3 linked regions of the Saccharomyces cerevisiae S288C genome follow. The protein of the gene in region 1 interacts with the protein of each later gene in a biochemical or structural test. Each region holds a gene or a part of one and is shown on either strand. Other genes may lie near its edges.

What was found. Proteins that work in one complex are often made in the same cells at the same time.
Region 2: the proteins of RFA1 (region 1) and DNA2 form a complex in vitro, tested with the Saccharomyces cerevisiae proteins (3 studies listed by BioGRID, with this or other methods).
Region 3: the proteins of RFA1 (region 1) and RTT105 form a complex in vitro, tested with the Saccharomyces cerevisiae proteins (4 studies listed by BioGRID).

Annotation. Positions count from the first base shown.
Region 1 is NC_001133.9:156,254-164,562, forward strand, and holds RFA1 (replication factor A subunit protein RFA1), read right to left. Parts: upstream 2,367-8,309; coding exon 501-2,366; downstream 1-500. Other genes in the region: COMPASS subunit protein SWD1, read left to right, coding at 1-32; tRNA splicing endonuclease subunit SEN34, read left to right, coding at 2,713-3,540; YAR009C (truncated gag-pol fusion protein), read right to left, coding at 4,344-7,934; YAR010C (gag protein), read right to left, coding at 8,291-8,309. UniProt on the Saccharomyces cerevisiae protein: As part of the replication protein A (RPA/RP-A), a single-stranded DNA-binding heterotrimeric complex, may play an essential role in DNA replication, recombination and repair.
Region 2 is NC_001140.6:424,110-430,839, forward strand, and holds DNA2 (bifunctional ATP-dependent DNA helicase/ssDNA endodeoxyribonuclease DNA2), read right to left. Parts: upstream 5,070-6,730; coding exon 501-5,069; downstream 1-500. Other genes in the region: 6-phosphogluconolactonase SOL3, read left to right, coding at 1-364; U4/U6-U5 snRNP complex subunit PRP8, read right to left, coding at 5,598-6,730. UniProt on the Saccharomyces cerevisiae protein: Key enzyme involved in DNA replication and DNA repair.
Region 3 is NC_001137.3:364,971-367,928, forward strand, and holds RTT105 (Rtt105p), read left to right. Parts: upstream 1-1,831; coding exon 1,832-2,458; downstream 2,459-2,958. Other genes in the region: Hsp70 family chaperone SSA4, read left to right, coding at 1-1,547; NUP157 (Nup157p), read right to left, coding at 2,868-2,958. UniProt on the Saccharomyces cerevisiae protein: Involved in regulation of Ty1 transposition. Inhibits Ty1 transposition at a post-transcriptional and pre-integrational stage of the Ty1 retrotransposition cycle.

The sequences.
Region 1 (8,309 bases):
ATACGAGGATAATTAAGATGCAGTCATCATAGGTTTCTCTTCAAAAGGAGAAAGTTTAAATAGGCAACTGACACTGAAGAGGTATAGTCATGCCTACCGCGATTTCTTTGACACAGAATTGAAAAATTTTGCATTTTTTGGTAATTTCCTAATAATACGAAGTGCAATAATCTCACTTTGATAGGAGCACGTCATGATGGTAATTTCATACTACTGAACGTAAATGTTGAAGGTGAATTTGTAAAGCTTTGTTATTTGAAGCTGTACACCTAAAGGGCGGTAAATTGTTGGGTGTTAGTACCATGCCATTAATTAGAATTTGTTAGCATTTTTATTCATTTGTGCATTATGGGTTCAAATTCATATGACTGAACGTGTAGTTTCATATCCAGTCATCAAGAGATGCTGAACCGCCCTTCAAAAACTTGACGAAATAGAAGTTTTTTTTTTACATTTCTCATATGTTACATAGATTAAATAGTACTTGATTATTTGATACATTAAGCTAACAAAGCCTTGGATAACTCATCGGCAAGATAGTCGGCTTCAGCCCTGTAATTCAAGCTGTGTAGGTTAGCAACGGTATATCTAATTCTGCTTTGATCATTGTATGTATCCTCACGCGCTCTAATCCTAAAGTCATATTCGTTCATTTGGATACTTTGAGTAATTTTTGTGAATTCGTTGGGGTCTTCTTCCTTCAAAGACATTAATGTATTAGCATCAACACCCAATAATTGTTTAGCTTGGTCGTCAAATAAAGTGAGCCATAGTTGATTGGTTTCGTCAATAATTGATATTGTCAAGATGTATCTCCAATTTGGCCTTGCATTATTGGTGTCGCACTTCTCACATCTCCAAGTACCATCAGGCTGTTCCAGAACTTTCTTATTACAATTCTCATTAGAACAGGCAGGATATGCAAAATTATCAACTTTTAAGAAACTTATAGCAGCTTTAACACTAAAAAAGTCACCTTTCTCGCTTCTTCCTAGATTTTCAGCTTGAGCTCTAGCAATAGTAATACGCTGAGCAATGAATTTTGTTAAGCTAGCAGCCGATTGACCACCCATACCGGGTTCTTGCTTTAAAGTGATGAAGTTTGCGTTGCGGCCCTTGGAATCATACCAACCCTTTAAGGCATATGCCTCAGGAATTTCTGGATTCGGAATCAGGGTACTAGAAAATCCCATAGACAAAGATTTGCCACCAAAATCCGTCACACGAACACCTTTAATGGCAGCAACAGAACCTTCAGGAAGGTTGAAATCAAGGGCTTGCTGATTCCATAGGCCAACAGAGATAGAAAACCCAGAGTCGTCAACAATTGTGATGTCACGACGATCGAATTTCTTCCCAGCCCTTGAAGTTAGCTCAAAATGTGGGTTTATAGTTTGGATAATACCGAGGACGTCTACGTTGGAATTTACTTCCTGGTTCTGAATAGCATCTAGTTTGATGAAATTGAAATGGGTTTTCGGAACATTACTTTCATCGAAACATTCTTCTATAACAGTGTCTCTATCCAAATTCAGTTCATAAGGGTGTGTTAGATTAGTAAATTGGGGCTTAGCTGGTTGGAGTTTTGCCTTTGATACATAGTATACTTTGCCTTCTTGTAAAATTTCGTTAAATTTTGTAGCAAAATCATTAAACGCCGTGGCTCGGATTTCTCCAGAGGTATCCAAGAAGTTGACATTGAATAGTTTACCATCACCTCTTTGATTGTGCCACGTTTTAATTTCTCCCTTGTAGGAAACTCTTGCTTTGATAGTCCAAACGTTTTGGTATGGAGACAGTTGTTCGATGGCAAAAATTGGTCTGGTTTTTTGCGAATTAGGGTTTTCATTGGCGAATTTTCTCTCATTTGCATTCAAGTTTGAGTTTGAATGCAGCATATCAGGGACACCAGCATTGCTGGCGTTTGTTTGATTGGCAACATTACCACTGTCAGTTATATCTTCGTCTTTTAAGGTTTCATTTGGATGCTCTGAGAAATAGTTATCCAAAAAAGTACTAGTTTGGTTGACCATATCAGCACGCGACTGGACCAACTCAAAGTCATCTACTAAAAGAACGTATTTCTTTCTTTCCCTGACAATAGCAGGTTCTGCAATTATCACGCGAATGATATCACCCCTTTGTAGTTCCATTGACTGGAACTTGGATGCAGCTTGGTTTCTCAACAGAGCCTTCATATGGTAAATACCATCGGAAATCATGATCAAATTCTTTCTGTTGCTGTTAGCCCCATCAGATTTCCTGGTGTTATAAACTTGATAAACGCCACCGGTGGGATTATCGTACCTTTGCTTATTGGTGAAGATGCTATGAAAATCGCCCCTCGAAAGTTGAACACTGCTCATCTCTTGTAAGTATAATCTGGTCTTCTTGCTGGTTTCGCCTTTACCGTAATAAGAAGAGTGAATAGTTTTTGTTTTACGTGTAGAACTTAAAGTGATAACATTTGTTCAAGTAAACCTTTATGTTAGTTCACGCGTCTTTTGTCGCCTCGTCTAATTTTTACGCGTGACATTTTTCCAAGCAGAGATATTTTATTGAGCAGCGAAGAAGAGTTAGAGAATAAGAAAGTGATGCGATAAGAAATCCACCCAATTAGCATAGATCCTTTCGTATATGGCTGAAGAAGGTGGTACGCGCATAGCTATTAACATATATGCAAAAAGAACGGCAAAAGGCGAGGAGGTTTTTATGCCACCGCTAGTATTTGACATAGATCACATCAAACTTCTAAGGAAATGGGGTATTTGTGGTGTGTTATCTGGAACTTTGCCTACTGCAGCACAGCAAAATGTATTTTTGTCGGTACCTTTGAGGCTTATGTTAGAAGATGTGCTGTGGCTGCATTTGAACAATCTTGCCGATGTGAAATTAATAAGACAAGAGGGAGATGAGATTATGGAGGGAATAACATTAGAGCGGGGCGCCAAACTATCTAAAATTGTCAACGATCGTTTGAACAAGTCATTTGAATATCAGAGAAAGTTCAAAAAGGATGAACACATTGCAAAATTAAAGAAAATCGGTAGAATCAATGATAAAACCACAGCTGAAGAATTGCAACGGCTTGATAAATCTAGCAATAATGACCAGCTAATTGAATCTTCTTTGTTCATTGACATTGCTAATACCTCTATGATTTTAAGAGACATACGGAGTGATTCAGACAGCTTATCCCGCGATGATATCAGTGATTTGTTATTTAAGCAGTACAGACAGGCAGGAAAAATGCAGACCTATTTCTTATACAAGGCATTGAGAGATCAAGGGTACGTTTTGTCCCCAGGTGGACGTTTTGGTGGGAAGTTTATAGCATACCCTGGTGATCCTCTTCGTTTCCATTCACATCTGACGATACAAGATGCGATTGATTATCATAATGAGCCGATTGACCTAATATCCATGATAAGTGGTGCAAGACTAGGAACGACTGTGAAAAAACTTTGGGTCATAGGCGGTGTTGCGGAAGAGACAAAGGAAACTCATTTCTTCTCAATAGAATGGGCTGGATTTGGTTAAGCTGGGAATCAGTCATGTATAATTATTTTCTCAGAATTTATGTATTTATAAGGTTTTTCAGAAGCATACATATGTGTAATACAATTTTTAAATTTGCATTGATATTTTGATGCATTCAGCGGGAAAGTAGTTGTTTATCACTAGACATATAATTATGTTTATTTATATTTAGTGGGAGCAAAACAGTTTATTGAATGTTTACCAGAACCGAAAAAAAAGCTCTTCTAAACTGTTGACATCCAGTTCATTTACTTCCACGTGTAGATGTGAAGGAACAAATATTTTAGCATCGTTCATACAAGTAATTATGCTATATTATCGATCCTCGGATTTCAGCTTCCGTTATATCGGATGATTGTTACTCGACCTTTATGTCGTCTTTTTACATCATATATGATAATATGCTAGCAGTTTTAATACAAATTGATCGAAGATAGTTGGTTCTGAGAAATGGGTGAATGTTGAGATAATTGTTGGGATTCCATTGTTGATAAAGGCTATAATATTAGGTATACAGAATATACTAGAAGTTCTCCTCGAGGATATAGGAATCCTCAAAATGGAATCTATATTTCTACATACTAATATTACGATTATTCCTCATTCCGTTTTATATGTTTATATTCATTGATCCTATTACATTATCAATCCTTGCGTTTCAGCTTCCACTAATTTAGATGACTATTTCTCATCATTTGCGTCATCTTCTAACACCGTATATGATAATATACTAGTAATGTAAATACTAGTTAGTAGATGATAGTTGATTTCTATTCCAACATACCACCCATAATGTAATAGATCTAATGAATCCATTTGTTAGTTAATAGTTTAAATGTTTTTATCGGAAGAGGTTTTGTCATCACATCAGCAATGTTCTTCTTGGTCTCGATGTAGTATACGTATAAATTATTACCTGATACTTCATCTCTAAGTCTCATTGCCTTTGTGCCAAAAAATCTGTTTCTAAATTTCTCTTCATTTGTAGACTTAATTATACTGATCGTTGATCTACTATCAGTAAGTAAGCCTTTAATAATTGGTTTCTTGTTAAGTTCTTGTATCAGGTAACTTAGATTATTTAATAATGGGACAGATTCACTTATCGCGTGTATTTCTGCTTCCGTAGTTGAAGTACATGTTAATGAAGCCTTGGTGGACTTTCCTCCAATTACCTTTCCATTAAGTAAATATATGTTGCCAATTTGTGATTTATAATACGGTTGGTTGCCATACGAAGCATCACTTATTGCGACTAGTTTATTATCTGGCTCGGTAGGTTTGTTTTTGTGCCATATCAGTTGTTTATCTCTAGTGTCCCACATGAATTGTATCAACTCATATGTCATGTCTAAAACTTGCCTAGAGGGGAATAGTATATGTTGAGCAAGTGTGTTGATGTAGTATAGTAAGTCAAATCTAAATTTATATCCAACATATGAAGCTAGACCAATCAACTTTTGCATTTCATGTACCTTCTCTTTGTATTCATCTTCATCTATTTCTAGTTCATCCTGGTCTATATAAAGACCTGGTTGACCTGGAGCTCTAAGTTTCTTTCCTTTTGGGTTCAAAGGTACGTTTAGTTTGGGTAATTTTTCTGTCAAGGATTTTTCCATACCTAATTTCATGTATTTACCTCTTTGATATTTGATTTCTAAGCCAAGTATGTCGTACTGAATTTCGTTATCACTTTCACCCAGATTTATTATCTTTGTATCGTATTGTTTCTTGAGTGTTGTTATGATTTTCTTATTTGCATTTAAGTCTTTGCTGAACAATATCATATCATCAACGAATAAGCAAATTGTTACTTGACTATTCTTAAATACGCATGACCATCCACGAACTTCTTCCATACCACACTGTTTTATCAGGTATGATTTGATAGTTTCGTACCAGTTCGCTCCACTTTGTTTCAATCCATAAAGTGATTTCTTCAAACGTATCAACTTATCATTCATTCCTAAATGTGGTGGAGGTCTTATGTATAATTCTTCTTTGATGTCTGCATACAAATATGCCGAAGATATGTCTAATTGTGTAATATAGTAGTTATTGTCTAATGCAAGTGACAGGGATGTCATCAACGCATAATGATGTACAGTGTTGGATTGCATACCTGTATCGTACGTATCAGGATGCTGAATGTCACCTCTTGCAACAAATCTAGCTTTATGAGTTCCGTCACGTTTCTTGTTGAAGATAAACATTGAGTTTATTACTCTTTTAGGGTCTATTTCTTTTCTGTCATAATATTTGTCAGTGTCCCAAGTATTCATTTTCAATAGTTGGTTGACTTCTTTGTGGTATGCCTCGATATATTTTTCTTTTTCTTTAATATCTTTATTATAGGTGATTGCCTCATCGTATCGTAAGGTTGTCCGTATTGGTTTGATTGATTTTACTGCTTTTACAGCTGCAATCAGGTGAATTCGTTTCTTCGATCTCGGAGGTTCTAAACTACGCATATTCTTAGTATTCCATGTGTCTCGTGATACCTTAATTTCAGTTTCATTATCTTCTAATGATCTTTTCTTACTGTTGATAGTAGTATAGGCATTAGAGTCACCAATACCACCCAAACTGGAATTAGTTTGATGAGAATTTATCGGTGGGAGTTCTTTAAATGGGTCAGGGAATTCGGTAGGAGATTCTGGAGGTAGATCAGGGAGTGGGAGATCAGCGATGATAGATTCCTCGGTATTCTGTTCAGAAACAGTAGTTGGCGTTTTGATAGGAACAATATTGTGCGATGAATTATTTTCCGGTGGAGAAGCATCGATTGAAGGTGAACGGTGTATAATCCTTTTCTCAGTCTCTTGGTCACTTATCTGCGGAACAGTTTTGTTGTTGGTACCACCCGTACTGGATATTGGTACGTTTGTATGATTAGTCTCATTTTCACTGTACGAGTCTGAGTGTCTGAAATCTTTAGATTTACTGGCGTGCGACGACTCATGTGTGTTAGATTGGGACATGGGAGCAAGTAAAGGAACATTTAATTTATGCATACCACCCGAACCGGTACTCTCGATATTGGAAATTTGGGGGGTGCTAGATCTCTTCTTTGATGGAAGAATATTAGATTCAGATATGTTGGGGTCAACTTCTCTGGGTGCGCGAATATTGGTTTTAGAAACACGTTTCGAATCTTCAGTATGAGTTGACGGAGGTGTGGAATCGGTTGGACTCACAGCTTTTGAAAGGACATTTCTCGGTTGCTCAGGATGTAGTTCAATGTCGGATTGGAAGTCATGGTCAGATTCTATGTTAAGATCATTGGATTCTTGGATCTCATTTGACGCAATGAACGAATGATATGAAGCAGTTAAACGGTTTAAGTCTTCATCGAAAGTGAGTGCGTCGTAATTGAATTGATCTAATCTGGATTCCTTGCCCTGAAGAATAACATAGTTAGTTGTATCTACTGTCTTCTTTAAGGATGGAAGATAGATGATATATCCATAAGAGTTTCGAGACGGATGTAGAGCGTAGCCTGGGATGCCACGAGGATGTATTTTGGAGTTAGGGTTGTGATCATTGACGATAACAGGTTGACCGAAAGGTAACAAAGTACTGATATCAAGTCCTGCCAAGCCAGCATGTTGTCTTGCAGATTTTTTGCTTTTAGGTGAAGCTAGTGAATTTCTCACAATAGTAGAAAATTCGATTGCAGAGAACCATAAATGGTTCGGTAAACCACTACATTGCAGTTGAGTACGGCAGTCATCTAATAAGGTACGGTTTAGCCGTTCAGCGACTCCATGTGCTCGGGAATCCGCTGTGGTTGTATAGCATGGAGTTATACCATTTTTTTCAAGGAATTTATGGAGAGTTCTGTTAGTATACTCAGAACCACGGTCCATTTGTATAACCAAGACACTGGCCTGAAACTGGTTTTTAATAAAAGCTAGTATCGTAGTAAAAACATCGAGGATAGAGTCCTCGCGACGGTCGTGTAATGGATAAACCCAACGCAATTTTGTTGTCTCATCAGTAAATGAGATGAAATAGGATGGTGCACTTTTTGGTAGGTTGTGAACTGGACCAAATATGTCAGTATGTAGGTATTGAAAGGGTTCGTATGAATTTTGGTATTTTAGTCGTGAACCTTTGATATGTCTGTGTTTGGTGCTTTTGCCGATTAAACAATCAGGACATTGATAGTCAATAGCACTAGACCAGTCGACATCTGATTCGTTAAAATACGTGATGGTGTTATTTTTAAGTGAGTATCGAATTTGTCTGTGCATTGGCATGCGCAAGCATTCGATGAATGAAAGGATAAGGATATTTGCGTGTACTTTCACTTGTATGGACATTATTGATGGTGGGTACGGAGATATTTGATGGAAGCAAGTACTTTTTAGATACCCAGTAAAAGTCTCCATATTTTACGATAGGTGCAAGTACAGTGCCGTCAGACCGTTCTAAGACGTTTTTGGTAAAGCATGCTGTGATATCTACTGCAGCCAATTCATTCAAACTGAGTAAGTCATAGGCTATGTTAGGAGTGTGCAATACCTTTATTGATGTTTTGGTGTTGTCCTGGAAGTGAAATTGTAGGTCACCAATAGCGTTAATTGGTATATTTCTTTTTTGAGCATCAACTACGTTTATGTCAGGATTAGATGATGCTGAGTGTATGTGATGAGCAGATCTTATAAGGGTTCGTGATGCTCCTGAATCGAGAAGGAGGTGTCCAGGGAGTTCATCATCAGAATGATTAGTATGATTTACTGTAGATTCAGTAAGTTTCTGGCCTA
Region 2 (6,730 bases), on another chromosome or scaffold:
TATCGTACCTCAAGTGCTTGATTTGGTACTGTTGGGCTGTGGTCCTGATGGACACACTTGTTCCTTATTCCCTGGAGAAACACATAGGTACTTGCTGAACGAAACAACCAAAAGAGTTGCTTGGTGCCACGATTCTCCCAAGCCTCCAAGTGACAGAATCACCTTCACTCTGCCTGTGTTGAAAGACGCCAAAGCCCTGTGTTTTGTGGCTGAGGGCAGTTCCAAACAAAATATAATGCATGAGATCTTTGACTTGAAAAACGATCAATTGCCAACCGCATTGGTTAACAAATTATTTGGTGAAAAAACATCCTGGTTCGTTAATGAGGAAGCTTTTGGAAAAGTTCAAACGAAAACTTTTTAGAAAAGACACACATGCGAGCTTTCGAACCTCAGATGCTAATATTACGTGTTATATATACCAAACTTTATAAAATGACATAGATATTTTATGCTGTGATAGCTTTCCTGTTATGGAGAAGCTCTTCTTATTCCCCCTGTCAACTTTCATACTCTTGTAGAATTTCCTTTATGATAGGTTTATCGCTTACGAATTTAGACTTTGATGTGATGGGTTTGGCACCTGTTCTTTTTCCACAACCTTTGCGTGCCTCATCAATAGCGTTTGATCTGTCGGGAAATTTGTATTTGTAGAGTGCATCCTTGCACATTGTATAGACCCAATTACGCTCTTCTAACAGGTTCACGAACGATTTTATTTCAGGAACAGAGCCGATTGTACTTTTTGAACCTATAATGATCAGCTTGGATTTGGCCCTTGTCATGGCAACATTGACTCTTCTTAGCTCTTTCAGCAGCGCTCCTCCATTTAATTGAGAATTTCTTCTAACCATGGAAATAATAATGCACTTTTTGTCACGACCTTGAAACTGATCAGCAGTCAAGATCTCTAGCCCGTCATACACATTTTTGTTGAATATCTTCTTCAGTAATCTTAACTGTGCTCTGTATAACGTCATTACACCAATATCTTCGCATGGTACGCCGCTCAATAACATTCCTTCCACACATTGTAGAGTCAATTCTGCCTCCCCGTGATTCGTAATGTTATCCTTTTCGCTTTGTTCGATAATATCCGGGCAGTTATCGTAATTTAAAAATACCACTTTTCTTGTAGGCTCTAGTATATCCTCAAGCCACTGCTTAGAGTTAGCCGATTCATTCCTATAGCGCGACAAGGCCTCAGGCATTGGTAACTCTAAAGATTGAGCAAAAACTTCGTTATTCCCGCATTTTAATTTATTATCATAAATTAGGAAATTAGACAAAGTTACAATATCGCCGCACATACGGTACTGTAAAGTCAGTTCTGCAACGCTTTCCGGATGCTTTTCACAGAAAGTCTTGAACAGTGACTCTTCTAACCCACCTAATCGAGCTGCGTCATTTTTAACTAATGGCGGTAGCTGGTAATGATCTCCTACCATAATAAACCTATTTCCATACCGCAGAGGTCCCAAAGCGACAGGCATTGAAATTTGACTTGCCTCGTCCAAAATCACATAATCAAAATCCTTTTCATTTAGTGTAAATAGTATATCGTTAATTCCTAAGCAGGTGGTAGCAACAACAGAGGTGCTGTTAATTTTGGACAAATAATCGTTATAACTTTTCACTGACGCGTAATTCGGGACATATTTTTGCGTGTCAGGATGGACCTTATGTTTCATTCCCAATCTCATTATGCTAATGTTGGTGTTCCTCAATTTTATTAAAATATTATCCACTGCTGAATGTGTGTATGATGTCAAAAGCACGCGTTTCCCCTCGGAAACGAGAATTTTAATAATTTCTGCGATAACAGTAGTCTTACCAGTCCCTGGCATTCCCAATATCAATGCATAATCTTCGGCCCTCATTACTTTGTCTATTGCTTCTTTTTGATTCAAGTTCAATGTTGTATCCTTTGAAAGCTTATACGGAATGACGGGATCATCATTTGCATCTCTAAACTTAGGTGCTCTATTATCAACTAAAAGTGATCGCAGTATTTCATTACCTCCATCAGATCTCTTTGTCTTCCGACATAATTTACTCCTTTCGTCAACAATATCCACGCCAGGTGAAACAGCTGGTAAAAACAAGCTTAAAAGATTAAATCGCGCTAAAGACAAACTCTGTTGGATATCATTTTTGTCGATTCTATATGTGACCAAATTTTGGGTAGCTATGAGACTGGATTGTTCTAGCTCTGATTCGACCACACTTTGGATGGTAGTGACTCCTTTTTCCTTATCTAGAAGCCTATTGTTTAATAACTTTCGTTTTACGGAGATACCAATTTTAGCGGGATTTATAAATTGTACACGACCTTGGCACAAGCAAAAATGACCCTCCTCATCACTAATAATAACAAAGTCATTAGCAGCAATTTGAGATGATAACATCGACTGCGAGTTATTATCATTTCTACGTCTTGAGAAGCAATATATATACGCTCCCTCTGTTTTTTCATGTTCAACCACCTCTGACACAACCAAGCCAGAAAGGCACCTTCCACTTCTGGATTCTCTTGTGGAACCATCCAATAAGAAAAGTTCTTTATTTACACATGTTATACTTGACTCCTCCTTAGTTATTAGATCATTATATTTTGTAAAAAACTCTTTGTAGTTGGCGAGATTTTGCGACAAATGGTTTGTCAAAATTTCAAACTCACCTTCTACCAGGCCACTTTCTTCTGGTGTCCCGTCCTCTAGTAGCTTATTCAACACCATGCATGATTCTTTGATGAAACATGAATCACAAGATGAATCGCGCAGTAAGGGTGGTAATTCAAACCTTGATTGAGCCTGTCCGAAAACCTCTTGGAGTTGATGCTTAAAATTCATACTCATTCTATTTCGGGACATGAGAATATGTTTAATGGAGTGCAGAACAGAAGGGAACTTTGTCATATTTTTATCCCTCGTAAAATAAAGAAGAAAAAACTCTATCGGTATCTCATAGCGATCATTTAACAGAAGTGTATAAATAAGGCCTTGAACCTCGTATGAAACGCTTCTGGATTTTCCAGTTTTCACTTCTAAAGGAACGATGTGTTTTTTATTGTTTTCAACATTAGCTTCAACAGTTGCATCTAGGAACCCTTTAAGACCATATATTGGAGACCAAATGTTTTCTTCAATATCAATCACATTGGATATAGAAATTGGCTGTGTTCTTCTTGTTCCGGAAATTGATGTGTAGCAACCATAGTTACTTTTCGAAACAAATTTATTGACGAAGTACAAAATGTTTTCAGCATGTTCTTTCATAACTAATTCTTTAACGTACTGGATTTCTTCATTACAAATGATAATTGAAAAAGAATAAGTTTCTAACAAAGAATCCAGCTTTTGTATTATGATTTCCATAGAAATTTTATTATGCGAGAGCTTGTATTTGATTGAGTCTTGCAATAACTCGTGTACGATATTGCCTAAAGTCATGACAAGGCTTGGTTCTCCGCGGGGATCTTGAAATTGCATTTGCAGAATTGAACGTCTTAAACAACCTACTGAACTTCCGACTGATGTTGCCGAAAATAATACATCAGGGTTTAGCACCAACAGGTTGTCGTTAGCCAGTTGAGTTTTAGGGTTTTTGTCGTCAGAAAGAAGCCGTTTGTTTTCAATATTTTTCCCTTCTATAATATGTATTACATCCCCAACCTCAAATTCCAAATATACCCAAGGATGTCGAACGACAACAGAACTTTGTTCGCCTTTGCCGTCTATACACTCTAGTATTTTTTGCGTTCCAATTTTTGGCAATTCAACACTACGTAAGCTTACTATTACTAATCGTACTACGCCGTCTCTTGGAGCACCAGACTTAGCTCTGAGAGCATATGCGGATAAAGTGGAATCAGTAGCAATTCTCAAATCGTCAGAGACCATTTTCTCCACTTTGTCTAAATCTTGTTCAATAGTGTTAGGTTCCACTTGTGTTTGAGTTTCGTTCAATAGTTCAATTAGTGAATCGTCTGAAAATTCGTCTGAAGAATTGTATTCTATTTTTTCATTTTTTTTAATTCTTTGGCAATTACTGTCTTCTTCATTCTCATAAAATGCATTGCCTGTTTTGGCTTGATTGTCTACATTTTCATGATCTTCAATTTCTCCTCTCGATTTTGTGTTATCATTCTTCCCACAACTTTCCTGGGCTCCACTTTTTTGATTGGTGTTGCCTTGAATTGTTATCTGACTCTCACTCTTGCGTTTCTCAACATACTTTTGAGTTAAAATATCTATCAAAGAGTCATCGCCATCGTTGCTATCTCCTGTTGAATCCATTTTATCTACTTCTTCTGCATTCACCTCTGCTTTTTTTTCAACGTTGGGTGCCTTGATGGGTGAAGATGGCAAATCGCTGAATTTCGTTATCGTCGGTTTTATAGTTAAATCGCCCTCTATATCATCGAGAATATCATCTATATTACGGAGAGACTCCCTGGTAGATATTTCTGCTGGTTTAGGACGCACTTGCTCATTTCCATTTTCTTGAATGAGTTGATTTACGTCAGCGTTGGGTACTTGGATATTTGTGAAACTAAGAACAGTTTTCAGTCGATTAGGGACTATAGGTGTAGAAGAGGGATTTTGGACATCTTCGTAGTCATCAGAGTATTCGGCAGCGCTTGTTGTTTTGTCGGACATATCTCGTTGTAAAGGTGAATATTTCCATATTACTTCTTCCATGGGGCCGTCCTCGTCTTGAGTGAAATCGTGATGCCTACTCAAATTAGACATTTCCCGTTTCGGTTTAACTTGTGAATTTGGTAATTGCTTTACGCTCTTGCTAACTGCTTTGTTTATATCTTTTGTTCTTGATGTATTTCGTACTTGTGAAACGGCTATTGACTTTAGGACACTTGCATTGGATACCTTGGTGTTCTTCCCATTTAAGTTATTTATAGGAGCAAAAGCATACTTTTTTTTCCTCTTAGTTTGCTTAGATAATATCGCCTTTGAATCATTTTGTATTATTTCTTTTTCCTCTGTCTTCTTCGCAGGTGAAACAGATATACTCGCAGACCTCTTGTTCTTCTGTGGCGTTCCGGGCATCCTGACGATCTCTTCAATTGTCAGTGTTTGCTTGCACAAAATGAGTACTCACTTGAGTATGTTTTCTCCCAATTTTGTTTTGAGGCTGCCGTAATGATTGTAACTTTATCTTCAAAAATGTAACACAAGTTTTGCCATAAATAGCGTAAGATCAGTTAAATATATATAAGTTCTTTCTGCCGCACGGAATTGCTTTATTGCGCGAAATGAAAACAAGAATATCCAATTTCTATATGAAGGACATAATGGAATGGGAGTGACAACGGACCATTTTCTGTCCGAACGATGTCTATCTCCTTTGGTTACTTTTTGAAATAGAATCACAGTCAATGACCAATTTTCACATACTTATAGCTTTTCATAGTGCGGAAAGCGTAGCTTTGAAGTAGTTCCGAAATTATAATACATCATCGTGTGGTAGGTAGCAACTACGACGGGCATAAAAAATGCGTTGAATATTATACATACAAACTTATACTTACATATATATCTATGAAATAACAGATTCCAGTTTATTGGGGAATATATTCAGCTAAATACATCGATTTGTTCGGCCTCTAACTCTTCGTCCCCCGCCAATTCGCTAAACTGTAAAAAGTGTACTGGACGATGCATCTCATTATAGAATTCCAAAGGAATGCCGTATTTAAAATTGTAGTCACCTTCTTGGTTAAATGCTGTTCCCATAAATGTGTAGTTCCAAACGTTTCCAGATGGAATTATAAAATTACCTGTGATACGGTCAGAGAGAAGTAATTGGGCATGCGTGCTGAAAGTAGGCTCAAACCCTTCCGATAGCACGTTCATTATATCCTTATTTTCTTCACCCCATTGGTAACCTTCGTCGGTCAGGTTATAAGCGCTTAATGATACTGATCCCGGGGTGGAAAAAATTGAAATATCAATGCAGTCTCTTTTCTTATCCGCAAAAAGTTTAGAATGAGTTGCTACTTCAGACGCAGCCATGAATTTAAGTTCTTCTGTCTGGGTATGGATCCAACCGAGTAGTTCAAGGCCTTCAGTATCCGGAAGGTCTCCGATGTCAGGGATGTTGCTTATCTGAACGGATCCTACGTGGCCTAATTGAGGTACCAGCACAACAGTCTTGATTTCTTTCACCTTCGGATGATCTTTTGCTGACATACCATAAATAAAGGCCGCCACCTGGATTTTCACATCGGATATCTCAATAAACTTCTTTAATAAATTTTTTGGAAGGACGTAAACATTCTGTTCCTCCACGAAATCATCAGCCGAAACATAAATGTTTTTTAACCTCAAATATAATAGTGTATTAGCAATTGCAGATTTTCTCCATTCATTCTTTGAACTAAACGTTTGACTTTCGTAATCAGCGGAAGCTACTACAACTATCTCCTCACCTTGCGCATTGATAGTTTTAGTTTTCATAACAGTTGATGCACCTGCAGCTTCTTCGTCGTTCTGCTTTTCTGACCTGGCAGCTTCTAATTCAGCCATTTTTTGTCTCTTCACAGATGGTGCCTTGATATTTTGACCCAATATAATATCTTTAATTTCCGTTTGAGTTAAGGCAGATATATTGACATTGTATTTTCTGCCGTACTCAGTCAAAATCAAATCTCTCATTTGAGATTCGATAGTGATCCATTGTTCATCAGTGAATGAAGGCCATAAATGGT
Region 3 (2,958 bases), on another chromosome or scaffold:
CTGCTGAGAACTTTTTAGGAACAGAAGTGAAAGATGCTGTAGTAACGGTTCCAGCCTATTTCAACGATTCACAAAGGCAAGCAACAAAAGATGCCGGTACAATCGCGGGCTTGAACGTTCTTCGTATCATTAATGAACCTACAGCTGCCGCTATTGCGTATGGGCTGGACAAGAAATCGCAGAAGGAGCACAACGTCTTGATCTTTGATTTAGGTGGTGGTACTTTTGATGTCTCTCTGCTATCCATAGATGAAGGTGTCTTTGAGGTTAAGGCTACTGCTGGTGACACTCACTTGGGTGGTGAAGATTTCGATAGTAGGCTGGTTAACTTTCTAGCCGAGGAGTTCAAAAGAAAAAATAAAAAGGATCTAACAACTAACCAAAGGTCCCTAAGGAGGTTAAGGACCGCCGCTGAAAGGGCCAAGAGAACTCTGTCTTCGTCTGCTCAGACATCTATAGAAATAGATTCATTATTTGAGGGTATCGATTTCTATACTTCCATTACAAGGGCAAGATTTGAAGAATTATGTGCTGATTTGTTTAGATCTACATTGGAGCCAGTGGAAAAAGTTTTGGCTGATTCAAAATTAGATAAGTCACAAATTGATGAAATTGTACTTGTTGGTGGTTCAACAAGAATTCCAAAAGTACAAAAACTGGTTTCTGATTTTTTCAATGGTAAAGAACCAAACCGTTCGATTAACCCTGATGAGGCCGTCGCTTATGGTGCTGCCGTACAGGCTGCCATCTTAACGGGTGACCAGTCGTCGACGACCCAAGATTTACTGTTGCTGGATGTTGCACCATTATCTCTAGGTATTGAAACTGCAGGTGGTATTATGACAAAGTTGATCCCAAGAAATTCGACTATCCCAACAAAAAAATCGGAAGTGTTTTCCACCTACGCTGACAACCAACCTGGTGTGTTGATACAAGTTTTTGAGGGTGAAAGGACAAGGACAAAAGACAACAATCTACTGGGTAAATTTGAGTTGAGCGGTATTCCACCCGCTCCAAGAGGCGTACCACAAATTGAAGTTACATTTGATATCGATGCAAATGGTATTCTGAACGTATCTGCCGTTGAAAAAGGTACTGGTAAATCTAACAAGATTACAATTACTAACGATAAGGGAAGATTATCGAAGGAAGATATCGATAAAATGGTTGCTGAGGCAGAAAAGTTCAAGGCCGAAGATGAACAAGAAGCTCAACGTGTTCAAGCTAAGAATCAGCTAGAATCGTACGCGTTTACTTTGAAAAATTCTGTGAGCGAAAATAACTTCAAGGAGAAGGTGGGTGAAGAGGATGCCAGGAAATTGGAAGCCGCCGCCCAAGATGCTATAAATTGGTTAGATGCTTCGCAAGCGGCCTCCACCGAGGAATACAAGGAAAGGCAAAAGGAACTAGAAGGTGTTGCAAACCCCATTATGAGTAAATTTTACGGAGCTGCAGGTGGTGCCCCAGGAGCAGGCCCAGTTCCGGGTGCTGGAGCAGGCCCCACTGGAGCACCAGACAACGGCCCAACGGTTGAAGAGGTTGATTAGATAAATACAAAGATGCGATGAAGTAGCAGCATCGAATTTCTTAGTTTTCCCTCTTAACAACTTTTTATAAGTATATATATAAGATACACAATCAGTAATTAGCAAATGACTACTATTTGTACGTTCTCATCGTCATAAGCCAGAGTTTAATTAAGTGCCTCAACCGGGATGCGATTTCGCGTTCATATACAAAGCCGAAATGACAATAAGAAAGTCATCGCCAAACAACACGACTAATTGACCATTAAAAGGAACAAAATACAGTCAAAGAGTTTAGCTCGGAAATGTACAGCAATCATAATTTAAATTCGGATGACTGTTGCTTCGATTGGAATGAAGAGAAGGCCGCAGAACTACAGCGTACAGGTGTTTCTTTTGACCGGAGTTTAACACCTCAATCTTTAAGAACATCTACACGTAGACTATCAGAAGAGAACAAACAACAAAGTGGCACTATGCACATTGACACTTCCCCTTCTGTGGTTTCAGATATAATATCAAGTAGACGAGATCGTTCACAGGATTTTTTTGGGCCTCATTCTTCATCCCCTATTGCCCCTTCAGAACGACAACGAGCGGATCAGAGATCACGGTTGGAGTCCATGAGATTAACTAGACGTCGAGACAAAATGACCAAAGTACGCGGTGGCCTAGAAAAGATGGAAGAAATGATCATGCAAGGTGAACACCTTAGAGAAATGCAAAGGCTAAAGCAGGAAGCACAAAAGAACGCTCTACCCTCTGACATGGCTGAATATATGGAATGGCAAAACAACGAGGATTTGGAAGACGATGAGTTGCTTGCCTTTATTGAAAAACAGGAAACTTATAAAAATGAATTAGAACACTTTTTGAACAATGCTAATAAAAATGTTTATGAGAACAACTCGTATCCGAACTCTCATACGTGATGGCATCATTGCTATTACAGAAATAGCCCTAGCCTGTCATATTTAACTGAGCTGTTGAGTATGGGCATCTTTCCGCATGCGCTAACTACGGAGCTGGCTCTTCCCCTTCTATTAATCCTTCTGGCAGGAAGCGAAAGCGACTGATGTCGTTTCTACGTTTCTATGTATATTCTATCGCGTTTAAGTGTGTATATTTTGAGCTGCTCAAGTGAAGGGAACGTATTCAGAATAACTAGATTCTCTGCCATACGATCAACTAACTGTTTACCATATACAGTCTCAGTTCGCTACGGTTAGCGTACCGTAAAACAGCAGTTTACATTCACTATATAAAGGATGACGTAAGAATTTGCCTACGTATTAAAGAAAACTTCACAATCAAACTGCTAAAATATACAAATAATTCCGTTCATTTCAGGCCATGATGACGATCCTTCACATAATCTTGAACGGGATCGGTATTCGGATCATATTTCTCCAATTTTTTGATTTGTTCTGGC